7 linked regions of the Tribolium castaneum genome follow. The protein of the gene in region 1 interacts with the protein of each later gene in a biochemical or structural test. Links are inferred from orthologs where the notes say so. Each region holds a gene or a part of one and is shown in the gene's direction. Other genes may lie near its edges. The genes, in order: park, ubiquitin-conjugating enzyme E2 J1, Ubc7, protein dj-1beta, elgi, ubiquitin-conjugating enzyme E2 G1 and eukaryotic translation initiation factor 4B.

Region 1 (4,057 bases):
GAGACTTTCCCCCAAATCACAAAGACTGTACAAGTGGTGTACCCCACAGTGGCCTCCTCGTTCTTAGAAGCCGTCAAAAACACCAAAAACCCCAGACCAATCCACCAAATAATCCCAGAAATACCCCAAAACGCCGCCTGTGTCTTCCTCTCCATCAACCGCTTCCATCCCGCCAAGAAACTGGACTTGGCCATCAATGCGATGGAAATTTTGCAAAGAATCACCTCGGAAAATGAACGTAAAGGCATTTTCTTGGTTATGGCCGGGGGCTACGACCCCCAATCGTCCATAAACGCCAGTTATTTCACCGACTTGGAGAAACTCGTCGCTGAGAAGGGGCTCCAAGACAAGATTATTTTCCTCAAGTCGCCCCCCGATGACGTCAAGACGGAACTTCTGATGGCGTGTGACTGCCTCGTTTACACGCCCGTGAAGGAGCACTTCGGCATTGTCCCCCTCGAGGCAATGACGGTGGCTAAGCCCGTCATTGCGTGCAACAGTGGGGGCCCCCGAGAGACAGTCGACCACGGAAACACGGGCTATTTATGCGAACCGACCCCCGACAGTTTAGCGCAATTCATGTACAGGATATTCAAGTCGGATAACAAGGCAATGGGGCTCAAGGGGCGCAAAGTGTTGCAGGAGAAATTCTCAAATGAGAGTTTTGCAAGGAATTTGAAGAAAATCCTTGATCACACTAGTGTAAATAAGAAGTTTATTTAAATAAATATTTTACTTAGTCCAAGAGACCTTAGGTATGTCAAAGTGTTCCGTGAGCCCGTCCAAGTGTTGGTTGAATTTTTCTACTCTTTCTTTGTGTGTCATTGACGCTTTTTCCAAGATGCGTTGAGTTTGCTGCAAATTGTAACAATCAGGCAACAAATTTAACACGAAATGTGATTTATTTACCATTTTTTCTTGCTGTTTTAAGAACGCAAGTTCGGCTTTTGTTTTTTGCCTCGCAGGCTTTGATTCCGGTGTCTCACTTTCGACAATTTTGCTCACTTGCTCTAACAACTTCTTATCTTTCTTCTTCTTTTTCTTTTTAATGCTGTTATCACCTTTTAATTGCAATTTTCCCTTGCAAACTTGTGCGTATGGGTCGTCACTTTGCCCCATCTTGTTTGTTTTGACGTTTCTGGAATTTTTCACACAACAACCAACGTAACGGATCGACAATCCCCAAGAATGAGGTTATGAAATTTCCTCACAAAAAATGTTTTTTTCTAAAAATAAGCCCGGCCGCGGTTACCACAGATGATGAGTTTTATTATCAACGTAATTAAAGATTTGTTGCATAAGATGTTACAATTTCTGTCATTTAGTAGAAAAACGCTGAGCAATAATTTGAGTATTTACATAAAAACCAACACAGGGAATACGCTTTCGGTCGATTTGGACCCCACCTGGGACATAAAAGAGGTGAAAGAGTTCGTTGCGCCCCAATTGGGACTGAAACCAGGCGAGGTAAAGATTATTTTCGCTGGAAAAGAGCTGGGAGACAACATTAGTATTTCTGTGAGTTTTGCCCTCAATACCACTAGTCGTAACCAGTTAGTCATTCTAGGAATGTGATTTGGGCCAACAAAGCACCCTCCACGCTATCAAAATCACCAAAAAGCCCAACCCTCCCACTTTAAACAATGCCGTAATTGAGGAAAGTGACGAGGGCAAACCTCTGTGTGAGACCTTATCAGATTTGAGTTTTTCAAACGATGATTACGAGGAAGGGCCCACCGAGCAACGCAAAGTCCACTTTTTTGTCTATTGCCCCACGTGTAAAGCCCTCAAAAATGGGAAATTGCGAGTTCGGTGCCACTTTTGCAAATCGGGGGCTTTCACGGTGCACTCAGACCCCCAAAACTGGAATGATGTGCTGCAGCCAAAGCAGATAACCGGCCTTTGTGAGAATAGCCCCGAATTGTGCGCCAACGTACGTTTTTTAATTATTTAATTGAAATTAGTCAAAAACACTCCACACTAAAAATAGTACTGGACAAAATTTAATTTTCCTTTAAAATGTTTATAGTCAAAATATTTAAAGTTAAAAATATTTACGCTTACTAAGGAGCATTGCGAAAATTTTTAAAATGTTTGCAATCGTAATGTCCGCTCACCTAACTAGAAGCAGCAGATTCATTAACACCATAAGAGCGAGCTAAACCGAAATTCTGGTACAGGGAAATCAATGTTAATTTTAAAAACTAAAAGTCGCTGAAGACAATTAAAAACAATATACGCCAAAATATTTTCAGATACTTTTTTAAATTTCTTTTTCTATCATAAAGTTAAAATTTTCTACAGTTACCAAATTTATTGAATGTAAATCTAAATTTGAAATTTGGGTTACTACTGAGGGTCTCTATAACATTTTTAGAAAATGTGTTCCAGCTATAAATCAGGTATCTAGCCCAGTCAAGTTAGACCAGACAAGAATTGGGCGGTTGGTGGCAAAAATTCCTAGTGAGTTGGAATTTTTTAAACGCGTTCTTTAGATAGACAGATATTAAAAATCCCAGAGGATGGAGGCTGAGCTCGAGATGGGGGAGAGGGTTAAGTGTGTCATTTTTCGTTTTATTTCTTATACCACGGAAACAATCATTGTCGGTTTTCACCTTCTTACAAAAATTAAAGCTGATGAAATTTCCTACAAAAATTGGTCCTATGCACTTTTGTTATAGGACTACCCGTAAGCGAGTTATAGGACTGAAAAGAAATAATTATTTAAAAAAAATCTGCTTCAAAGTAGAATGTCTTGTGACTTGAAAAAATCCAAATTTTACAACTGTTTCAAATTGAAATGATGAAATCTCTAGTATTGTGTAAAAATTGTTATAATAAAAATTTTTTAAACGTCCTTGACTGATTGATTTTAAAAAAATTCACGACGATAAGACCAAGTTCCTTAAAAAGTTTAGTTAAAAGTTAATGTAATAAACATCATCAGGCTTTTTACTCGTTCAAATTCTTGGAAGTAAACATTAAAAGATGGAATTAACAATGACTTAATGACAACAACACATGCACACACCACCGCCTTTTGACACCAGTTGGTGTCTTAAAGTGAACAAGACAGCGTTTTAAAAATGGTGGATGCGCCGGGAGAAATTATCAAATTAAACATTTCCAAATACTACTTTGAATAACTTTAGTCAAAAATGTACAAGTGTACAGAAAATATAAGAAAAACAAGTGTAAAACAATTTACTATTAACAAACTGCAAATTAAAAAAATGGTGGATGCGCCGGAAAAATTAATCAATATTCAAAAAAAATAAAAATAGATGTTTGTTGTTATTTTCTGACAAATGTATACATGTTTAAAATACTTTTTTATCAAACATTAACGCAAGTAGAGCAAACTGACATGAAATAAGGCAGTGGTATTTTGACAATTTATTGAAATAACGTTATGAAACGTAAGTTTTATGGGAATTTTTGAATGTAATCATTTCTGGACAAAGACATGACTCTAGAGGCAAAACGGCTCATTTATCAGCGTTTATCAGCAAAACATTTCTATCTTAGTGACCTCTATAACACCGTAAAGTTTGGCAACATCATTTTGAACGCTGTATAAGGAAGAGAAAATTATGTAAAAATAAGTAAGAATCGCTCCATAATCAAAACGACACACAAGAATAATAGTTTAGATTTTTTATTAGATTACAATATTAATAATAAATTATAAACAAAGACAATTGGATTACCATAACTTTTCAATTCTCCTTTTTTACCTGCTTTTTTTTCTATCTTTGTACCTGTCTTAAATCATTTCTTTTAATTAAGTGTCAATAGAAATTACTAGTAGGTAGCACATAAGTAGGTAAATTTAATTTTTAATTCTTTTAATATTACCTTTTTTGAGATAAAAATGTATTCAACGGGAATCTACTAAAGCGCTACAATAATATTTTGTTTGTGCGTGAGATGCGTACAAAAGCAAAGATAGACAGTTTCGTTTGGTAACAGAAAATACTTGATCGATTTAACGACCTTCGCTAGAAATATTTTAGTTTAGCTTGCTCTTAAAACACAAATTAAGAACGACTATGAT
Region 2 (4,022 bases), on another chromosome or scaffold:
TGGTTTGTATACAAAACTTTAATTTGCAATTTTACATAATCTAATACAAAAAACTGACTACCACTTTTCGTAAGTTTGACCTAGAGAAAAATTTTGGCAATTTTCACATATTATACCGAGCAACTGTTAATGATTGTGACTTTTGTGGTCAAGTTGATAACGAATTTGTAAACTTATGACTGTCAGATGAAACAGCTCCATACAAAAAGCTAGCAGGGAGGCCAATAACTCAATGTTGCTAATACATTTTTTTGCCTCGATCATTAAAAGTCACAGTGACACCGAATTATGGTAGGAGATATCTTTTAGAAAAAAAATCCTCATACCAGATGGATCTAATCTGTTGTTTAGGGTTTTCCCCTAATTTTTTTCGATACCTATGGTTTGTTATACTATTTCTATCCAATAATTAAGTGAAAAACAAGTTACTAACACTCCGTGATTCAAGTAGTATCGGACCAAATTTTAATTTTTCCTTTAAAAAGTTTTATTTTTCGTTTTGATGAATCACAATATTTTGGATTAAGCGCCTATTAATAATCAACTACGAATATTTACATTTACCTGAGAAAAATTGTAAACCCTTCGTCTAGTGAATGTCTTCAAGCGACCAGAAACAAATCCACTATCAACACTAAATAATTAGTAGAACACAAACCAAAAACGATTATGAACACATAACAAACGTTTTTAAACGAAATTAATAATAAATCTTTAGCACAACACGTTTTTACTTCGGATTTGACAACACCACAGAACATGACAGGTGCAAAATCGGCGGGGAATTACTGTAGTGCTGAAATACTACCAACCTAACAGTACCTAGGCACTAAACACCCAGATCTAAGTGATTTTATTACAGTCGCAGGCCTCGTAAAATTACGTGAAACACCTTGTATTTGCAATTGGGTGATTTTGTTTAGTTCACTCTATAATCTGTATATCTAAGCCAGCTCTAACGAAATATACAGAGTTGAAAGTGGTATTGTTTTTTCTAACCTCAATCATTTTAAACTACTGACGACTCACGTTAAATAAAACTGAAAAATAACCACTTATCTACAAATTACCTACCTTTTAAATTCCTGATAGACGTTTCACCAATCTCAACGAGCCACAACGTTTCTGCTGTTGAAAGTCCACGTTTGTAATTTGCAGAATCAGCTGATTGTTTTGACAGTTCGCCTAAACAAGAAACATGACAAGTTTTTGTACCCGTTTCGGCACTTCTTAAATATTTCTGTACAAAATTAGTGTTGTCTTTATCCTTACTTTTAGTACAAACGTTCAGTTTATTAGTGATTGAGACCTACCAAAGCATGTCGTTAGAAAATAAGTATAACCTAAAAAGCCCAGGTAAGAAATCGGATATTTAAGTGATTCTCGACAAATTTCCAATGTAAACAGGGGTGAAACGTCTCATGCGCGAAGCGCGAGAACTGGCCGAACCCACAGAAGAATATTTCGCCCATCCGTTGGAAGACAACTTGTTTGAATGGCATTTCACAGTGCGAGGCCCCCCTAGCACGGAGTTTGAGGGCGGTTTCTACCACGGACGTATTCTTTTACCCTCACAGTATCCCATGCAGCCCCCCAATATTATTTTGTTAACAGTGAGTCAATTTTGTAATAATTGTTCATTGTTATTTCATTCTGCAAACTCGTAGCCAAATGGGCGCTTCGAGGTGAACAAAAAAATTTGCTTGTCTATCTCTGGACATCACCCGGAGAGCTGGCAACCGTCGTGGTCGATAAGAACAGCCTTGTTGGCTTTAATTGCTTTCATGCCGACTCCTGCAGCCGGCACGATTGGTTCCTTGGACTACACCCCAGAAGAAAGACAGATTTTAGCAAAGAAATCCATCAATTGGGAGTGTCAAATTTGCGGTAAAATTGCAGAGACGCTTTCTTCGCAGTCAAAATCGTCAAATATTACTCAGGAAGAGGCTTCCCTTATCCAGCAGATTGCTCTCAAGGTGAGTAAATAATTTTTTTAATTGAAGACTTTTTCGCAAAAGAAAACGCGAGTATTTATATTTTTTTAAATCTGTAAACTATATTTAAAAAAATAGGCTTTTGGGATTTAAAAACTATTTTTTAATCGTACTGAAAAATCTGCAAATAATTTCAAAAGACTTATAGTTTTTACCAGCGAATAGGGATGGTTTTTACCATGTTTTTATGTTTTTGTGTGTTTCAACATGTTTTTCAGTCCGAAACGCAGTTCTTTCGCGTAATATCTAAAAAGTAATTTGCTATCAAAACCACATGTTTATGTGTCATTTCTGTTGTTTTAAGGTATTTTCTTATCAACAATTTAACATTTTTAAGGACATATTTTTGTTATATGGTATACGAGTGGTGTAAATCTTATTTTAACGAAAGGTACGTTATTTCTGAACAATTTTTATATCTCATAATTTTTTGTATCAGCATTGGTTTTTGAGTACAAAAATAATTTAAGTAATTTCTAAGGTTGCCATCTAATACAAAGACTGACCCAAAAGTAGCGTACAAAATTTATATCTTTGTTATGTCATTAAAAAAAAAACAGGTCGATTTAATTTTTTTAAATGCTACATTTTGATTATATTATATTTATGATGTCATTCGTTTTTGAGTTGTGACATAATTCTTAATTTTTTTTTAATGACAACTGACATTTTTGTTCACTGTTTTAGAAAGTAAAGATGTGCTTTTTCTAAAACAGTAAACAAAAATGTCAGTTATAATCTAGCTGATAATAAAAAACAAAATTAAAAATTAAACATAATGAGCTTTATTTCTTTGTTCTCGATTTATTTTATAAGCGGCAATTGTTTTTTATATTTTTTTATAATTATCATGAAAATACTTAAGAACTAATAGGAAGACTTTACACAAAAAAATAAGAATAATAAGAACGAGAAGATAAAGCTTTTTGTGTAATACTCTCACTAACTTTTATAACTTTTTTATTTTATTTTCTTCTTTCTTTTTAATTGTTTTATACTTATCAGAAAGATAGAAATGTATACTATCTAAAACACCAATCAAAAATATCAGTTGTCATTTAAAAAAATTAAAAATGACGTCGTTACTCAAAAAAGAATGATGTCAGAAATATCAATATGATGTCAAAATGTAGCATTTAAAGAAATAAAAACGCGTGTTTGAGGATTTTTTTGAAAAATGATTCAAAACAAAGATACGATTTTTATGCATGACTTTTGGTTCAGTCTTTATTTTTCTTTCTCTTAAATTTTTTTATACTTACCAGGAAGTCAGAAATATATTACCTATAAAAAACTATAAAAACACCAAAATCGTATTTTCTCTCAAAATTAGCTATTATAAATTATTCAATTACTTTATGAGAGATCTAAGCATTCATAACTATTCTAAATTAAATTGGACGTGTTGGGGGATTTTTTTGAAAAATGATACGGTTTTGCATTACTTATGTTTTAGCTTCTTTATGTAAGTTTATGTTAATTATTTATTTATGTTTATGTTTATTATGTAAATAATTAATTAGTTATTAATTTAAACAAAAAAAGGCATTTTCCACACAGTTGTGAAGTGGTTGTGAACTTATCTAAAACAACTAATTAATGTCTACACTGTTGTTTTGGAAAATTAATAAGATATATTAGATTTTATAAGACACAGAAATTGTTCAAAAATAATGGATCTTTCAAATAAAAAAATGGGTATAAAAGAATGAACATATAAGAAAAATATGGCTTCAGATATATAAAATTGGTTATAAGTAAGTACTTTACAATAGTAAACAAATGAAATATCACGCAAGTTACGTGTATCAAATTTCATTTAAAAAAGTAAGTTGTGAAGAAAAACCAAAATAATTTTTGAACTTTTAAACAGTGTAACTTTGGTTAAATCGCTTTATTTTGATTTTTGACCTGCGGAGTCTCTCGTTCCTTTTTGTCATCTTTTCGTTACACCCTGTATTATTCTTGATTGTTTTATTGACTGGGCAAAGAGGTTATAGACATGTGATTCTATTTTCAACAAGAATA
Region 3 (2,689 bases), on another chromosome or scaffold:
CGAAAGCCAATAAACAAAACAGGTTGAAAAAAAACTCTAATAAAAAATTTAGGCTTTTTTGTTGAAAGTCTTTATTTAATGCGATTTGTTTGGAACATATTTTACGAGTTAATTTTGGGGCACTTCCTGTTGTCGTAGCAACTTGAGATTTTACATGCACACGTAACTTTTGGAGCACAATTACGTCATGTACTTCGATTCCTGATTTAAAAATGTGCAGTGCTATCTCGGTTCCTGAGGGAGATACGGGAACGGGACCTATTCCATTCGATAGCCCAGGAAAAATACTACGGGGCGGTAGGGTTTTCAAAAGGACAGAACCACCCCTCTATCTCCAACAGAAACGAAGATATTTCGCATTTTGTAAATTGCAGATTTTCTTCAATTTTTATAAAAATTTTGATAATGAAATAAAATTTTAGTAAAATTCAGCAAAATTTTAAAAATGGATTTCGTATCAGGATCACAGGAACGCAAAAGGGTAATGAGAAATTATAAATAACTTAAAATACACGCAGATGTATAACTGGTTGCATGTAAACGCCGCTAAAAATTTCGTGGCCTCTTTGCGTTCCTATGATCCTGATACGAAATCCATTTTTAAAATTTTGCAGAATTTCACATAAATTTTCTAGCACTCACAAATTTTTTTATAAAAACTGAAGAAAATCTGAAATTCACAAAATGCGAAATATCTTCGTTCCTGTTAGAGATAGAGGGGCGGTGAAAACCCTACTGAGCCGTAGTATTTTTCCTGGGCTATCGAATGGGATAGGTCCCGTTCCCGTATCTCAATCAGGAACCGAGGTAGCACTGCACATTTTTTAATCGGGAATCGAAGTACATGACGTAATAGTGCTCCAAAAGTTATGTAAACATGTAAAATCTCAAGTTGCTAACATAACAGAAAGTGCCTCAAACTTAAACTTTAAAACGTCTTAAACTATTTTTTTTTAAATTGTAGGTAGTGACATTTGGGTGTCAAATCTTAAAGTACCTTTTATAGAGATCTATAAAACATTTAAAAATAATAAAATCTAAGGTAGTGACATCTAAGCAATGACTGCAAAACTACGCTCTTATAGTAACCTGTAAATTGTCAAAGTACCATCTACTGAGTCTGATCTATAGCTGTTCGATGGAGTTGGTGATTGCAGTGCACTTTTTTTTAAGAATTGACAAACGCTCACGTAAAATATTATAAAGAATAATTAAATTCATTCAATGCACATTTTTGGGTGCTCATATTGTTCAAATATTGATAAAAAATGGCAGGCTCAGCTCTAAGACGCCTTATGGCCGAGTACAAGCGTAAGATGCAAGCCTAACCTCAAACTATTTGCATTCGTTTTATGTTTCTAGAACTGACTCTGAACCCCCCAGAAGGTATCATTGCTGGTCCAATAAACGAAGAAAATTTCTTCGAGTGGGAAGCGTTGATAACGTAAGTTGTCTTTGTAGGGAAACTTTCATATGACGGGTTTTTAGTGGCCCTGAGGGGACATGTTTTGAGGGCGGTGTTTTCCCAGCTAAACTCATTTTCCCCCCGGACTATCCCTTAAGCCCTCCTAAAATGCAGTTCACCTGCGAAATGTTTCACCCTAATAGTAAGTATATTAGGGTTTTTGTAACAGGAGATGAATCAGCAGATTTTAGTTTATGCTGATGGGCGAGTATGTATTTCCATTTTGCACGCCCCTGGAGATGACCCTATGGGCTATGAGTCAAGTGCTGAGAGATGGTCTCCTGTACAGAGTGTTGAAAAAATTCTTCTCTCAGTTGTCAGCATGCTTGCAGGTACGTTTCTTCACAAAACAGTAACAAAATTCAACATGATTTTTAGAACCTAATGATGAGAGTGGAGCAAATGTTGATGCTGCGAAAATGTGGCGGGAAAATAGGGAGGAATTTAACAGAATAGCGGAGCGGATTGTAAGGCGAACGCTTGGGATTCCTACGTGAATTTTTACAAATTTTAACTGAGAGTTACGTCTGTTTGTTACAATTTTAATAATTTATGGGGATTAAAGTTTAGTTTTAAAGTTCAAGACTAAGGGCCTGGCTTGTTACCGCGCTAAAGTGAGAAAAAAATTTATTTCAATATATTATTTCTGAACAACAGTTAAACCATAAACTTAGTCTGTTAGGAACCTAAGCTATTGAAATAAATACAGCAGCATCCATTCACATCAGGAGTCTTAGTCTTGTCTAGCGCAAAACCCCGTTTTGTGACTAACATATTCACAACCTAATAAGAAATACGTTATTTTCTGGCTTAACTACTATCATGTGCGTTTGCTTCCTTATAAATAAGTTATTGGCTTAAAAACTACAGCTGACTTTCCAAGCATAACAATACTAAAATCACATTAAAACTTTGGTCTGAAAGTTAATTGCACAAATTTAACAAAACAACAAAATAAATAACTATAAATATGAAAAAGAAAGTGAAAACCTCAGGACTGCCGAGGATTTGTGTTATTCAAAACAATGTAATTGTTCAGAGGTATGTTGGAAACGATAGGTGCTTGGACTTCTTCTTCCTGATAATCGCGTCGTATCGCTGGAGTAGGGATTCTAGGAGGGACTTGTTCATTACTTGTATCTTCTACATCTATCAGATGCTCTGAATAATAATGCGGAGTGTTCAAGTAGTCGATCATTCTCCTCGGCAATGGAAGACTGGGGA
Region 4 (2,814 bases), on another chromosome or scaffold:
TCCGTATAATCTATAATAGTACATGTCGTTGTACAAACTTAGTTATAAGAGTGCGCAAAAGTGGATATTATAATACAATTAAAAAACCACTTACTTAAAAGTAACATGGAAAATATTGCTTTAATTAAATCAGGCGCCCAGCTTTCGCCGGGCAATCAAGAAATTTTCATAGACTCATTTGAATTGTTCCCCTCCACGGAAATCTTTAGTAAAAGGCGAAAGATTTATTCGCACTGAAGGGAAACCAGAGTGATGTTTGAAAATCAGCCTTTCGTTTATATCCTGGCCCGTACGTATGATATTCGTGACTCGTTACATTTAGCGCCACCTATCCACCACCACAACAAGTACCAACAACAACAAATCAAAGTTTTGTAGTTTTACCTTCCGGAGAGCAATTATAAGCATAATGCTGGTCACAAACACACCAATTGCCAGAAGAATGGAAAAAGCAGCAAACATTACAAGAGTATTGCGGACTAAAACAACAAATTGAGGACAAATGGGCGATTAAATGGTGGGCTTACCGTGACGGTTTCCCACGTAAATAAACTGGTAGGAAATAACGTAATAGCCGGTGTGGACGGACCCTGGGACTGCCATTGAGTAGCAGTAGAGATCGAAGCAACTTGTGATAACTGTGAAGATGGACAACAGCTAAAACATGAAATTTATGAAAATGTGATATTTAAACAAAGGGGGCGTAACATACCAAAGAAAACACTCCGATTAATAGGGAGGATCTCTGGACGTCCAAAATATAAGATTCGGTTATGATTGGTTTTCTGTACCAAGGGATTTTCAACGATTTTATACTTCGGCTACTTCGCAAATTCGCACTGCTGCGTGTTGTGACGTGTGAGTACACCGAGGGGGTGCCAGTCGTTGGCGATTTCTTGCCGTAATTCATGTTTTTATGTATTTTTTAACAATTAAATCAATAAATAAAGGTATGACACATTTGGGTAGGTAAACAAATAGGTGTGGCAAACGTCAAATTCCGCCGCCAACCTTGCAACACCAACTAACTAGGTGTGTTAATTACAAGGATGTAATTACCGTAATTAAACAAAATCAGTCATTATGACATTAATTTAGGGAGTACGGACACAAGGGGAATTACGTGTATTTATTTCCAATTTTATTTTTTGCAAAATATGCAATTTTGTTGAACAACCTAACGCGAACAAAATCCCCAAACTGGCATGACCTACTCCAATGTCAGTCATATGTCAAAGTTTTAGGGCTCCGCTCACTCGCTTTAATAGGTTAGGATTAGCGGTGCGTTTTATTTCGAATATGAGCACAAAAGCCCTTGTTTTCCTCGCCGGAGGCGCTGAAGAAATGGAGGCTGTAATCGCAATTGACGTACTTCGCAGAGGCGGTGTAAATTAACCCCTACTAAAAAAAAACACAAATTTTTCCTGTTATTTTTAGGTGGAAGTAACAGTTGCAGGCCTACCGGACGCCAACATCATCAAGTGCAGCCGCGGTGTCAACATTAAACCTGACATTTCAATCTGTGAGGCCAAAGGCCCCTTTGACGCAATTGTCTTACCTGGGGGGCTAGGAGGGGCGAAGGCTTTGGCCGCGTCTAAAGAAGTAGGGGAGTTGATTCGGGAGCAGGAGGCGGCGGGGCGACTCACGGGGGCGATTTGTGCCGGTTTGTAATAATTTACTGTGAAATTTCCTTAATTATACAGGGTGACCCAAGGGTGTGTAATCTATTTGATAAAACTACAAGGTATTCAGAATTTTTCTATTGCAAATTTGGCGGAAAATATTCATAGGCGACTTCGTTATGATTTTTCAAAAATTGGTCTTTTTTATAACCAGAAGTTGAATAATTCCGTTATACAACACCCTGTGTATAATAAAAATATTTTTAGTTTGTGGATTTTAAGTCGATCTATCGGATAATGAAAACAGCATAGCAATATTTCAAATAGCAAAGTTACACAGCCCTGTGTCACCTGTATAATTGGTTGCCTATGTTAAAATTATGGGGTTGTAGCGCCCACGGCCTTGAAGGCCCATGGGGTTTATGTGGGCAAGACTGTGACGTCGTACCCAGCCATGGAGGCGCAAATGCTCGAAGGTGGTCAATATAAATACAAAAAGGAGCCAGTTGTGGTTGATGGGACTCTGGTTACAAGTCAAGGGCCTGGCACTGCCTTCGTCTTCGCCCTAACCCTAGTGGACAAACTTGTCGGAAAGGACAAGGCGGCAGAAGTGGCCAAAGCCATGCTTTTGTCGTATTAACAATTTATTACTATGGCACTAGAAACAAATAAATAACAATAATTAGTCGTTCTTCACGTGTTTGTTCTTATTATTCTTAAGCGCGCTCTTGCACTCTTCGTACAAGTTATTGAGATCGAAAGCCCCTTTAACGTTCTCACTCGAGAAAAAGAATTTCAAAATGTTGCCTTTTGAGTCAATAGCCGGCCTCCGCACCACTTCTTTCCCTTCTTTAAACAGAATTGTCGTGGGTAACTGCTTACTTAAACTGCTGTCATTCACGCGATATTTCTGTGCGGCATCGGGGTATCGCCCCACGTCGATTTTCCCAAACTTGAAATTCTCCAAGTGATATTCGGTGCTCAGTTTTGCGAAAACCGGGGCGAAGTTCACACAAGCCGGGTTCCAGACGGTGTAAAACGTGACCAACCAATAGCCGTCCCGACTACGTGCCAATTCCTCGTCCAAGCCTTGCATGCCCCGGAAATAAATGACATTGTCAGGGCCGGAATACGTGGGCTCGGGAAATAGCAACGCCCCCACTGAAATCACCCAATTAAATGCGACAATTAT
Region 5 (4,255 bases), on another chromosome or scaffold:
GTAATAAAGTAGCGATAGTATAATTAACAATGAAATCTTTTAGGAAGTGGTATTTGTTTCATTTTTTTGAGCTTAATGTTCACAGTGCATTTAAAATACTGTATTTTTTCTATTTCTTTTCCTATTTGTACAAAGATTTATTTACCATTAAGCATAAAGATATTAAACTTTTACCATATATTACTTTAATGTTTATTAACTTCTTGAAATTGACGAATGTTTTGAATTTTATGATGCAACTTTGAAATTTTAAACAATGGTAATAGTCAAACCTACACTATGTGTACTCATGTTGTAGCAATGCAACCATGTATCTGTTCTAGAACAAAACTTTGGAAATAAAATTTTTATATTAATAGAAAATTTTATTGCAACATTAATTACAATCAGCTACTTGTTCTTGACTACAAAGTGACAATAAATTATACTTTTTGTGCTTAAGATAGTCAGGTATAACACTTAAAAACGCAAACCCCTTTATCACTTCAACAATAATAGCCACTTTTGCCTCTTTAAGATCAACTTTATGATCAGGCCTCAGCTCGGACACTTTCGCTGCAATTAATTTTATGACTTCATCCCGCGAAACAACATTATTATTCCGGTGGTTGAAGATCACACAAAACGTTTGCGGGGACTCCACAAAGTGTTTCTGGGCGAGGGGCACAAATGCGTTGACAATATCACTCACATTCGCCTTGCACGTAATTTCCACAGGAATCAGTCTCAGCAAAAATTTCGTTCTTTGGGTCTTACTCCCATCAACATCTTTTATAATCGCCTCTGCTAGCTCAACCGGATTCTCCAAACTCGTCCTAATGAATAGGAAATTTTTGGCACCAGATTCTATAACCTGGAATCGTTTTTCACTCTTGTCTTGCTTCAGTTCGGATATTTCTTTAGCCAACGAGTCGTCAATGTCTTGCTCAGCTTCAGGTTCGTTGCTCTCTTGGTACAATTTGTCAGCATATTCGTTTAGTAAATTGTAAGATTCCTTAATGCAGTCCTTTTCCCTGTTGTTACAACTGCAGAGGAAGCCCCGCAAGTTCACGTCCAAGCTCAGTCTTTTGTTGGAAGTTTTTTTAAAGTAGTATTTTTTGGATTTTTGTTTGGAAACAACTGGCTTACTCATGACTACGACCCCTACAAAACTATGTTGTAATATACAATTCACCAAATAAATCGATATGTGACCACTGTTCTTTGTTAATAACACGTATTAATCCAATATTTTTTTATTTGTAAGCATAAAAAGTTAAAATAAATACGCACTTAAAAATTAGGTTAGCTGAAACATCACGCCTGACCAACCTAACAGACAAAACTTCCTAAATTTTTTGTTTCTGTGTCAGACATTTTGTTGATGGGTGACATTTGTCACATATGATTTTACAATTTATAAATAAATCGCAGTGCTAAAATCCGTGCAAATTGTGATGGGTCGTTACTGTTAAAATGGGCTTTGATATTAATAGGTTTCAAGGAGATGTAGATGAGGAATTGGTGTGCCCCATTTGTTCGGGAGTACTGGAGGACCCCTTGCAGGTGTGTTTACTTATTTTTTTAATGGAAAAAGTCTTACTGGTTTTGCAGGCACCTGTGTGCGAGCATGCATTTTGCAAGTCCTGCATAACCGAATGGATCACAAGACAGCCCACATGCCCCGTGGACCGACAAAGTGTCACATCAGCGCAACTGCGCCCAGTGCCCCGAATTTTACGAAACTTGCTTTCTAGGTAATCAAAAAGTCTGAAATGAAACCGTTCGATTCAATATTTTGTTCCAGACTGTGTATAAATTGTGATAACGCTCAGTATGGCTGTACGCGTGTATTAAAATTAGACTCTCTCTCGAACCACCTTGAAGAATGCGAACATAATCCTAAGAGACCTTTACCGTGTGAGAAGGGCTGTGGTTTAGTGATTCCTAAAGATGAGTTGAAAGACCACAATTGCGTGAAAGAACTGCGAGCGCTGATACAGACCCAGCAGCAGAAAATGAACGACTTCCAGCAGGAAATCACCGAGCAGCGCTTCCTAATCAACGAGCAAAAGCGCGAAATGCAGCTGCTGAAGGAGTTCATGAGGGCCATGAGGATATCGAACCCTTCAATGAGGGCAATAGCTGATGCAATGGAGAGAGATGAAGTCTTAAGGTGGAGCAACTTTCTCCAAAGGGCGCGAGTCACCCGATGGGGAGGGATGATCTCGACACCAGATGAAGTTCTTCAAGTAGGTTCAATCAACAAGTGGCGAAATTTTCATAATTTCCTTCCAGAGAATGATTAGAAGGACGTTAACTGAGATGGGGTGCCCCAACCACATATTAGACGATCTAATGGAAAATTGTCACGAGAGGAGGTGGCCCCCCGGCTTGAGCTCGCTGGAGACCAGGCAAAACAATAGGAGACAATACGAAAACTATGTTTGTAAAAGAGTACCGGGCAAGCAGGCTGTGCTGGTACTGGCGTGCGACAATACGCATATGGGCGAAGACATGATGGTAGAGCCAGGTTTAGTTATGATTTTTGCTCACGGTATAGAGTAACCCTCTTTGTTTTTATTTTTTTTAATTACATTCCTTTTAAATACATTAATTTACATTAAGTTTAATCATAATCTTTCTCACTGCTTTATTATAAAATCTGGGGTCTGTAAGTGCCACAAATTGTTCCGTTCTGGTGGTGATGCAGTCAATTTTATCAATTAGAATTCGTAAAATTAGAAAATTGACAGGAAGTGCACTAATGATACAGGATTATTCAGCTTGAACAAATTAACTGTTTTGTAACTTACTGCAATGTGCCATTATTCATGAACCAAAAGTAAATTAAGGCTGTGGTCTACTTTATTAAAACATTTTCACCCGTTTACGTATAAATAGCTTTAATGGGTCATTTAAACACCGGTAAAAATGAAACTAATTCGCCGCTTGAGGGGCTTTAAACGTCGTTTGTAGAAAATTTAATTCTCTTCAACTGTTTTTGTTACGTTTTTCTTGTGTTTTTGATTGTATTCGCATGTAAATTATAAATTTAATAAATTATTCATGCACTTTAAAAAATAATAATAATGTAATTTATACTTTCAATGAGAGATCTAACCATTAATAATTATTGACTGTGTCTAAACTCCCGGGAGCGTCACGAATATTGAAAGTGACGTCATCAACGACCAGGATTTTTAATTGTTTTATTGATTTTTTGTATTTTACACATAATTTTTGTTGTAAATATTATAGCAATCCTTAAATTTTCCAATTGGAGGAGAAGCCAATCAGTCAAGTCTTTAATAACGATTGCAAGGCCAAATTTAAAAAATACTTACATTTTATTTTTTATTACACAAAAAGTTTGTGTCTTCGAGCATCATATATATATGATGAGTGCCTATAATAATAGGGAGAATTTTTTTGCAGACCAGTGTTATTGAACTTACTTTTTGCAATCAAGAAATTATTATAAACGTTGACTGCATCATCAATTTTGTTCCAGAACGTGTTCATTTGTCGATTTTATAATGCGTAAAGTCATCAATAATTCCTGCCGCCAGGATAATTGATTACTTTTGCATTTTCAAAGAATTTGCTGTTAATATTGATTTTTCAACAATAACGGAAACGCTGACGCAGACTTGAATGTTGGTGGATGTGCGGTTTTCCCGTTTTGTTTCGTTTTAGTTATGTATAGTTTAATGATCTGACATTTGATCTCAAAAATTCACAACAAAGTCGTTCCTACATCCGATCGGATTTGGTCTGACATAACACTAGTCACGTCAGAAATGTGATTTAATTTCTAAATTTTTTGAATGGAGGTATGGAAATATCAAACACTAAATTCTACTCGAAGCTCCCCTACGTTTTGAGGACTAGCAAAGGAACTCAAAGAGCTAAATACATTTGTGTAGCTTCTTGCAGTTAATTTTTGTTAGGGTTTTGGGGGGTGCGATGTTTATTTATTTTGTAATGTGATTAATATTGAGGCTTAAATGTACTTAACTTCTGTTGGGCATTTTGTAGTTCTTATGTGCTGCCAATTCTTGTAATAAACAAGTAAATTTTTATATGTTAATGTGATTACGACCCCGTTTGTAAAAGTAAAACACGAATTCGGACACGAGAAATAATAACGCGATTAAAACACCGCCTAAAAACAGTAAAATTGCGGATCCTACGTGTTCACGACCGGCACTTGAATACCCAGGATTCAAGTTGAGAGTTGAAACAGGCCGTAAATTTGATTTGAGAATTTTTT
Region 6 (3,368 bases), on another chromosome or scaffold:
TTAAAGCGAAAGCCAAAAGAACTAGACGAAGTAGGACATTCTTGGGGCACTTTTTTACAACAAATCTAAATCTGTGATCATCCAAGACGTTCTCTTGATAACACTCAACTTTGATTCGTGAAAAAATTGTTAAAAAAGTTTTGTTAAAAATTTGTTTCAATAAAAATTTATATGATTATGTTACGACTAATGTGTAAACTAGCTGTTAAGTTTGTAAACTAGCCAAAGCATTAGCTATTTTAACATAAAACGCACTTTCAAATAAAATAGCGGCTAGTTTACAAACTAGCTAATAACCTTGGCTAATTTACTTGACAGATAAAATGGTTTATAAATTTTACAAGACTTTCTCTGGTTACTATTAAAACCGTATTTTCTGGTAACACAAGTTATACAATTTTTTAGCTAGTTGACAAACTAACCAACTCACTGGGCTAACTTATGTGAATAAATTGAAGTTATGAAATCTTGTTATATAAACTAATTAAAACAATGGATATTTTATCTTGTTTTTAAACCACCCAACTTACCAACCTTCTGACAACTCGGACTTACAATTAATAAAATGCGAACATAAAATTCCATTTTATCTTTCAAGTAAATTAGCCGAGGACTGTAGGTACTCTACATACTAGCCGCTATTTTAGTTAAAATTGCATTTTCTATTAAAATAGCCAACGGTTTGGCTAGTTTACAAACTAGCCAAGTTTATACATTAGCCGTAACACTGGCCAATGCTTTGGCTAGTTTACAAACTAACCAACTAATTTACAAACTAACCAGTTAGTTTACAAACTAGCCAGTTAGTTTACAAACTAACCAGCTAGTTTATAAGCTAACCAGTTAGTCTACAAACTAACCAGTTAGTTTACAAACTAGCCAAGTTTACACATTAGCCGTAACACTGACCAATGCTTTGGCTAGTTTACAAGCTAGCCAAGTTTATACTTTAGCCGTAATAAATACAAGGTAAGGAAAAACACAACAAGAAACAATAGAAAAAAATAACTTATTATTCAAATTATTATTATTATTATTATTATTCAAATTATTCAAGAGCTGAATATTCACAATAATGCCTCTTCAACTCTTCTATCTTCAAAATTAAAAACTACTACTGTTTAATAATTATTTGGTCAGCAAAATAGACAGACCCTTTTGAAACTAAAGCAACCTATTTTATTTGTCATGCGTCAAAATTCGTCGAAAATCGTAAAATTCTCGTAAACTCCAAAACTCTCTTTTCAAAAGTCGCACACTTCAAATTTCCCGCAACCGGGCGTAGATTTCTTCCCTTCCACCCGAGACTAGCACCCGTCGGCCATAATCCAACCCCGGACGCAAACCAACACCAACATACCATATGTTTTTAGGTGACTCAAATGATCCAATGCGGTCCTATTTGGTAGTAACACCGGCCATCTTTTCCCAGAAAACTGTGTTTGTTTCTTAATTTTAGCTCTAAATTAAGTTTGTAATTAATGTCAGAACCACAGTCAGCCCTTCTACTAAGAAAACAGCTAGCAGGTGAGTCACGAAAACGATTTAAATTCATTCTTTCATCGCCGACAAAGCACAAAGAAATACGATGCCATCGACACCAAACTCGGCCCGAAATCCACAAAACGATCAATTATAACCCCAAAATTTCAACCCGACACGACCCCGGCCACATGCAGCCACCCACCCCCGAAACTTGGGGCCCCCTGTCGGCGAATACACCCCAACCGACGCACCTAACCCCTCAAACACGGGGGGCCCCCACGATTCTAACCCCAACTGTCAAAAAATCTCTGACATTTGCATCCCTCATTTCATGAAAAATTCGTGAAAGTCGCTCGTACGAGCGATGACCTTAAGGTCGTGTTATTTTAATAATGAAGTTTTGGTTTGTTTCCAGAATTGAACAAAAACCCCGTCGAGGGCTTTTCTGCTGGGCTAATCGACGATAATGACATTTATAGATGGGAAGTGCTAATAATCGGCCCTCCGGACACGCTTTAGTAAGTTTTTTAATCGTTAAAAAAATTTGAGGTTAGGAACGCGAATGTGTTGCAGCGAAGGAGGTTTCTTCAAATGCCACCTCTATTTCCCCAAAGAATATCCACTCAGGCCGCCCAAAATGAAATTCGTGACAGAAATATGGCACCCTAACAGTAAGCAACCCCCAGGGGGGCTCACAGAATTAATTGAGTGTCATTTTAGTCGATAAAAATGGCGACGTGTGTATATCAATCCTACACGAGCCAGGGGATGATAAGTTCGGTTATGAAAAAGCGTCAGAAAGGTGGCTGCCAGTTCATACTGTAGAGACTATTTTAATATCCGTTATTTCAATGTTAGCCGACCCAAACGATGAATCACCTGCGAATGTCGATGCTGCGGTAAGAGAAAAAATAGCGTGTGTATCACTTGACTAATTGGGGAATTCCAGAAAGAGTGGCGGGAAATGTACGGCGAATTCAAACGAAAAGTAGCACGATGTGTCCGAAAGTCCCAAGAGGAATGTTAGTACATTAAACCAATTTCACAAAACGGTTTGATTCTTAATTGAAAAATTCGCATTTTTTATATTACCTGGAATCGAGTCCGTTGCTTTTTTCTTAATTTTTTTTCACGATCTCAAAGAGAGTCGGATTTTTCTTTTCAATAAAATAATATCATTCAAATTTCTGTGGGTCTAATTCAAGTTTTCAGCGTGAATGTGGTATTGTAAAACGAAAAGCGATCGTCAAGATTCAAATGTTGTCTTAATTGTAATACTTAAGACATTTGTCGAAAACACTACTTGTAACTGCTATTAGTTTATGTAAATTTCAACTGTAACACTGTAGGAATCATAAGTTAAGTAAATTTTATTAATAAATCTATCGTTATTAATAATTGGACATTTACCTAAAATCCCGAGTTGGCAAGAATGCGTCCCGTCAAACAGCCTTCAAATAGTGCAGCGCCCGAAACGGTGAGTTTTTCACACCATTTACTTGCAAAATTAATTTTTAATTGACTTGATTCGACTCCACGTCCTCTCTACCTTAGGCCAAAGTTGCTTCATTTACAGAATTTTCACAAATCTCAGCAATACAAAAAATCCTGTAAATGAAATCGACTTTATTTCATATTGCTAGTGAGAGGATTCTGAAAAAATCGCACTTAAAGTTCAGAATTATTCCATTGCATTAAACCTGTTGTAAATTGGTCTTTAAATAAACTACACACAAATGAATAGTACAATTTTACATATTCATACATTATATTTTTTCTTATTGCTTGCAAAATACATTCATTTGTACTGCTTTGATGTAATTTATTTTAGTTTTAACTAAAGTTAAACAAATAACAATATCTCTAATCATTTGTGCGTATTA
Region 7 (4,233 bases), on another chromosome or scaffold:
GTCAAATTGTAAACGTAAGAGCACATCATAATAAAGGAAAATACTTTTGTTTTGTGAGAAAAAGAGATGAACGTAAAGATGAAACATAACTTCAAACTTTAGCGTTGAATCCTTAGATGACTTACTTCTTAAATTATAAAAAAATAAACGAAAACATTTAATTTATGTCTAAAAATTTTTAGTTAACTGAGATTGTTTAGTAAAGTCCCGAAAAACATTGTTAATAAAAATCATGGCCACTGCGAATCCAGTAGGATTTGCGCACGTCCAATATTTTTGACTAGAAAATACATAAATTTGGTGATTTTTGGAAAAATTATGTCCATTTTCGGTCAAAAACGTGCTCAAAGTCACAAAAAAGATGAAAACAATTTTAAAATTGTAGAATCAACTTATACGCCCGGTATCTTTTGATGAAATCTGGTAAAAAATTAGAGAATTAAATTGAAAAAAAGTGGAAGAAAATGTTTTCTCGAGCTAATTCGCCGACTTTTGAACCGAAAGTATTTGCGTTTTAGGTAAATTATTGCAATTATATAGTTTGTAATGTTGATTTATTCAAAAAGTTTGTGTTAAAATATCTGCAAAACACGGTCAGGACCTAGGGCCTTGGTGGCCTAGTGGTATAAGCGCCACTTACGACGCAGGAGGTCGGGGTTCGAACTCGGATCAGAGTAAAAATTTTTCTATGAAAAAAAGTTTGGAAAAGGTAAGGAAACAACACGTAAGCAAAAATAAGAAAATGAGAGAACACATAGACGTTTAAACGTAAAGCGGAGCATAAAACTGACAGAAATAAGAAAATAATGCGGCAAAAGGTAAGTACGTAAAGGCGCCAAATTGTAAACGTAAGAGCACATTATAATAAAGGGAAAATACTTTTGTTTTGAGAGAAAAAGAGATAAACGTAAAGGTCAAACATAACTTCAAACTTTCGCGTTGAATCCTTAGATGACTTACTTCTTAAATTATAAAAAAATAAACGAAAAAACATTGAAAAACATTGTTAATAAAAATCATGGCCACTGCGAATCCAGCAGGATTTGCGCACGTCCAATATTTTTGACTAGAAAATACATAAATTTGGTGATTTTTAGAGAAATTATGTCCATTTTCGGTCAAAAACGTGCTGAAAGTCACAAAAAAGGTAAAAACAATTTTAAAATTGTAGAATCAACTTATACGCCCCGTATCTTTTGACGAAATCTGGTAAAAAATTAGAGAATTAAATTGAAAAAAAAGTGGAAGAAAATTTTTTCTCGAGCTAATTCGCCGACTTTTGAACTGAAAGTATTTGCGTTTTAGGTGAATTATTGCCATAAAATGTTTAACCAAGTGTTTTTATTCGGGTGTTTACACAATTTTAACCCGAAATTTTGGACTACAAGTCGTTTTGTGATTATTTTTTGCCGATTATTGGATATAATTTGAACTTGGCGCTGTCGTGGCCCCCACCCTGCGTCCGTTGACATGTCAAGAATCTGACATTTTCTACGTCTAGTACGTCAGTGACAGTGCTTTTACAATAAATTAAATTTGAAATTGTTAAAAAACTGTTTATTGTTATTGTAAATACTAGCAATGGCTTCAGGTAAGTTTCCCCAACATGTTCCCCCTTGTCCCGCCTTTGGGAACGCGCTGGGAGCGCGAATCCCGTGCAGACCGCGTGTAGTGGCGACCTTATTGTACGCTGAAATTTTCCGAATTCCAGGCAAAAAGGGCAAAAAGAACAAAGGCAAAACGCTGGCGTTGAGCGACTTCCTGCAGGAGACGCCCGGCCCTGTGGCCACCATGCCCATAAGGAAGTCGACGATGAATTGGGCCGACGAAGTGGAGGATAATCATGGTAGAGTGTACTTAACCTCTAAGCTGTGCATGTGGAAGCATTTTGGCGATCGATCTGTGCGCGATGGTTGCCGTTTGTTTGAAATTCTATTAATAATTCAATCTGAAGTGGGAATGGCTTGTTTTTCGGGTGTCAAAATTCGTTTTTAGCCTCAAGGTTTGATCCAGATAATTGACCTTTACGGTTTCAGATGTGTATGACCCACGCTCGGCCAAAGCAAGTGTTGTGTTGCCCACAGCGCCCAAGGCGTCGCGGGACTTTGACGATATTATTGATAAAGTTCCACAGGAGCCCCCATTTATCGCATATCTGACCAATCTGCCGTATGATGTCGACGAGAGCGAAATTGCGGCGTTTTTCAAGAACATGAAGGTAAAAATAATAAACAGAAAAGCCTCCCTGAACTAGGTCTTTAAAAATTTAAAAATACATAATTTAAACTAAACTATTGTTATAGACATGGTTGATACTTTTTTTCACCAATAGGTGGCAGTAGAGTTCCTATATTGTCCAATAAAGGGACTCTAAATGGCAAAATTTCGATTTTTGGAAATCTTGACTTGACAGATTTCCGATTATTGTGCGATTTTAATAATAATAATAATAATTTTTTTAATGTTTTTTTCAACTAAGTAAGATTTTGCTTTGAATTTAAAATAACCTTTGTTTCAGATTTCGCACATGCGAATCCCTAAAGACGAAAGACCCGGCGAAGCGCCCCGATTAAAAGGTTTCGGTTACGTAGAATTCGAAGATAGAGAAAGTTTATTAAATGCCTTGGTTATTCCCGATACTGTAAGTAAATCAAAAAAATAAATAAATAAAAATTCGAATAAAAAAAATATTGAAATAAAAATCAAAACACAAAAAATAGACAATCAAGAATAGACGGATACGAATCGACGTCGCCACAGATTACGACAATGACAAAAGAAGAGGTGGCCGTATGGACATGAACCGAGATCGTGGTGGAAGAAGTGACATGTCGTCATTTGGGGACTGGAGATCGGGTCCAAGACAGGAAAATTCAGACATGGAGCGGAGAGGATTCAGCAGAGATAGAGAGCGTGATGGTTGGTTTATATTTTGTTATTTGTTTTAATAGTACAGTAGGTATACTACATAATACAGAAAATGAGCCGCTGAATTCAATGGAACAAAGCGCATTGCTCTACGACTTTTAGTTTTCGAGTTATGAATTTTTTTAATGAATAAAATTTTTCACTATGACAAATGGCCACCCTAAATTTAGGCAAAAATTTTTAAATTTTTAATTCGTGTGAAAAATTGATATATTATGTAAAATGAGCCGTAGAATTCAACCGAACAAACCGCATTGCTCTACGAATTTTAGTTTTTTTTTTATGAATTTTTTTAGTGAAAAACTTTGATCGCCTCTGTAGCCGGAACCGTTGCCCGGAGCGGCTCCGGGTTTGGTCGAAACAATAGCTAAAATTAAGCGCTATCAGATATTTTTTTGTTCGTTGCTCTAAGTCTTACAGTTTCCGAGAAAAACGCAAAAAAAGGTTTCCATTTTCACTTTTTTTCAATTTTCAACCGCTAATTACGGCGAAACTATTAGAGTTATCGAGAAACGGAAAAATGGAGGACAACCGGAATAAAAAACTCTACAAAATGGCATAGGACTCAAGGCGATATCTCGCAAAAAAATTTTCAATTTTCAAACGCCGATTACGGCCAAACTAAAAGAGTTAGGAGAAAATGCTTTTTTAGATTGGAAAGAGCACATCAAAATCTATAAGATAGAATCGGTTTTATTTGATTTAGAGACACTTTAAAAATTGACCGATTTTAAGGGGGGGGTGTTAACTTTTTTTTAATTTTTTTTATTTTCTCATTTTTGGCTAAACTATTCGAAAAAGTGGAACTATTTTGATCCATTCCTATGCAAAATGATCCGGGGAATCGATTGGCATCGAGAAAATTGCCAAATTCCCAATAGTTTTTTAGTTATGAATTTTTTAAAATTTTCCCAATTTTTGCATTTGTCTCCAATTTGCTCGAAAACTATTAGTCGGAGAACAATAATTTTTTTTGAAAAAGATAGATAATTTAAAGAGCTTTCCAACGATAATACACTTCATGGGGTTATCTCTGATAGTTCCGGAGCTATTGCTTGACAAAAGTTCCGGGTACCCAAAATCGACAAAAACTGCGACGAAAATTGAAAAAATCAAACATCAAAAAATCGAACATATGGACTTTTTGTGGACTAAAAACAACTTTTGTGGGTTGTTAAGACATGTAGAAGTCCATAAAAATTTACTAGAGTGAGTTTAAAAATTTTTTTTTTCGCCTCTTTGAAGTTAAGTGTATTATTACTCAGGAAATTTTAGCAAAAAAATTGAAAATTTTAAATTTCGTGA

Evidence for each region.
Region 2: the proteins of park (region 1) and ubiquitin-conjugating enzyme E2 J1 form a complex in vitro, tested with the Homo sapiens proteins (4 studies listed by BioGRID). The link is inferred for Tribolium castaneum from reciprocal best matches to the Homo sapiens genes PRKN and UBE2J1.
Region 3: the proteins of park (region 1) and Ubc7 form a complex in vitro, tested with the Homo sapiens proteins (6 studies listed by BioGRID). The link is inferred for Tribolium castaneum from reciprocal best matches to the Homo sapiens genes PRKN and UBE2G2.
Region 4: the proteins of park (region 1) and protein dj-1beta form a complex in vitro, tested with the Homo sapiens proteins (2 studies listed by BioGRID, with this or other methods). The link is inferred for Tribolium castaneum from reciprocal best matches to the Homo sapiens genes PRKN and PARK7.
Region 5: the proteins of park (region 1) and elgi form a complex in vitro, tested with the Homo sapiens proteins (2 studies listed by BioGRID, with this or other methods). The link is inferred for Tribolium castaneum from reciprocal best matches to the Homo sapiens genes PRKN and RNF41.
Region 6: the proteins of park (region 1) and ubiquitin-conjugating enzyme E2 G1 form a complex in vitro, tested with the Homo sapiens proteins (5 studies listed by BioGRID). The link is inferred for Tribolium castaneum from reciprocal best matches to the Homo sapiens genes PRKN and UBE2G1.
Region 7: of the proteins of park (region 1) and eukaryotic translation initiation factor 4B, one has a biochemical effect on the other in vitro, tested with the Homo sapiens proteins (2 studies listed by BioGRID). The link is inferred for Tribolium castaneum from reciprocal best matches to the Homo sapiens genes PRKN and EIF4B.

What each region holds. Positions count from the first base shown.
Region 1 is NC_087398.1:11,672,335-11,676,391, reverse strand, and holds the start of park (E3 ubiquitin-protein ligase parkin), read left to right. Parts: upstream 1-1,257; coding exon 1,258-1,518; intron 1,519-1,567; coding exon 1,568-1,933; intron 1,934-4,057. Other genes in the region: alpha-1,3/1,6-mannosyltransferase ALG2, read left to right, coding at 1-723; protein FAM32A, read right to left, coding at 733-855, 910-1,119. UniProt on the Homo sapiens protein: Functions within a multiprotein E3 ubiquitin ligase complex, catalyzing the covalent attachment of ubiquitin moieties onto substrate proteins. Substrates include SYT11 and VDAC1.
Region 2 is NC_087394.1:12,101,754-12,105,775, forward strand, and holds the start of ubiquitin-conjugating enzyme E2 J1, read left to right. Parts: upstream 1-1,222; 5' UTR 1,223-1,319; coding exon 1,320-1,356; intron 1,357-1,407; coding exon 1,408-1,613; intron 1,614-1,667; coding exon 1,668-1,976; intron 1,977-4,022. UniProt on the Homo sapiens protein: Catalyzes the covalent attachment of ubiquitin to other proteins. Functions in the selective degradation of misfolded membrane proteins from the endoplasmic reticulum (ERAD) and is essential for cells to recover from ER stress.
Region 3 is NC_087394.1:30,806,899-30,809,587, reverse strand, and holds Ubc7 (ubiquitin-conjugating enzyme E2 G2), read left to right. Parts: upstream 1-1,148; 5' UTR 1,149-1,268; coding exon 1,269-1,311; intron 1,312-1,362; coding exon 1,363-1,444; intron 1,445-1,488; coding exon 1,489-1,607; intron 1,608-1,656; coding exon 1,657-1,797; intron 1,798-1,843; coding exon 1,844-1,962; 3' UTR 1,963-2,189; downstream 2,190-2,689. Other genes in the region: uncharacterized protein LOC662537, read right to left, coding at 2,457-2,689. UniProt on the Homo sapiens protein: Accepts ubiquitin from the E1 complex and catalyzes its covalent attachment to other proteins. In vitro catalyzes 'Lys-48'-linked polyubiquitination. Involved in endoplasmic reticulum-associated degradation (ERAD).
Region 4 is NC_087401.1:11,635,873-11,638,686, forward strand, and holds protein dj-1beta, read left to right. Parts: upstream 1-1,195; 5' UTR 1,196-1,218; coding exon 1,219-1,386; intron 1,387-1,437; coding exon 1,438-1,663; intron 1,664-2,014; coding exon 2,015-2,262; 3' UTR 2,263-2,304; downstream 2,305-2,814. Other genes in the region: uncharacterized protein pasi2, read right to left, coding at 385-479, 528-657, 713-910; thioredoxin-related transmembrane protein 2 homolog, read right to left, coding at 2,305-2,783. UniProt on the Homo sapiens protein: Multifunctional protein with controversial molecular function which plays an important role in cell protection against oxidative stress and cell death acting as oxidative stress sensor and redox-sensitive chaperone and protease.
Region 5 is NC_087394.1:31,074,009-31,078,263, forward strand, and holds elgi (E3 ubiquitin-protein ligase NRDP1), read left to right. Parts: upstream 1-1,455; coding exon 1,456-1,736; intron 1,737-1,786; coding exon 1,787-2,231; intron 2,232-2,277; coding exon 2,278-2,547; 3' UTR 2,548-4,061; downstream 4,062-4,255. Other genes in the region: THUMP domain-containing protein 1 homolog, read right to left, coding at 377-1,132; uncharacterized protein LOC103312325, read right to left, coding at 4,062-4,255. UniProt on the Homo sapiens protein: Acts as E3 ubiquitin-protein ligase and regulates the degradation of target proteins. Polyubiquitinates MYD88. Negatively regulates MYD88-dependent production of pro-inflammatory cytokines.
Region 6 is NC_087401.1:11,951,521-11,954,888, forward strand, and holds ubiquitin-conjugating enzyme E2 G1, read left to right. Parts: upstream 1-1,180; 5' UTR 1,181-1,363; coding exon of another isoform or gene 1,364-1,373; 5' UTR 1,374-1,405; intron 1,406-1,459; 5' UTR 1,460-1,481; coding exon 1,482-1,527; intron 1,528-1,900; coding exon 1,901-2,003; intron 2,004-2,058; coding exon 2,059-2,156; intron 2,157-2,205; coding exon 2,206-2,384; intron 2,385-2,434; coding exon 2,435-2,512; 3' UTR 2,513-2,868; downstream 2,869-3,368. UniProt on the Homo sapiens protein: Accepts ubiquitin from the E1 complex and catalyzes its covalent attachment to other proteins. In vitro catalyzes 'Lys-48'-, as well as 'Lys-63'-linked polyubiquitination. May be involved in degradation of muscle-specific proteins.
Region 7 is NC_087400.1:562,330-566,562, reverse strand, and holds the start of eukaryotic translation initiation factor 4B, read left to right. Parts: upstream 1-1,433; 5' UTR 1,434-1,581; coding exon 1,582-1,591; intron 1,592-1,711; coding exon 1,712-1,846; intron 1,847-2,036; coding exon 2,037-2,218; intron 2,219-2,518; coding exon 2,519-2,641; intron 2,642-2,720; coding exon 2,721-2,919; intron 2,920-4,233. UniProt on the Homo sapiens protein: Required for the binding of mRNA to ribosomes. Functions in close association with EIF4-F and EIF4-A. Binds near the 5'-terminal cap of mRNA in presence of EIF-4F and ATP.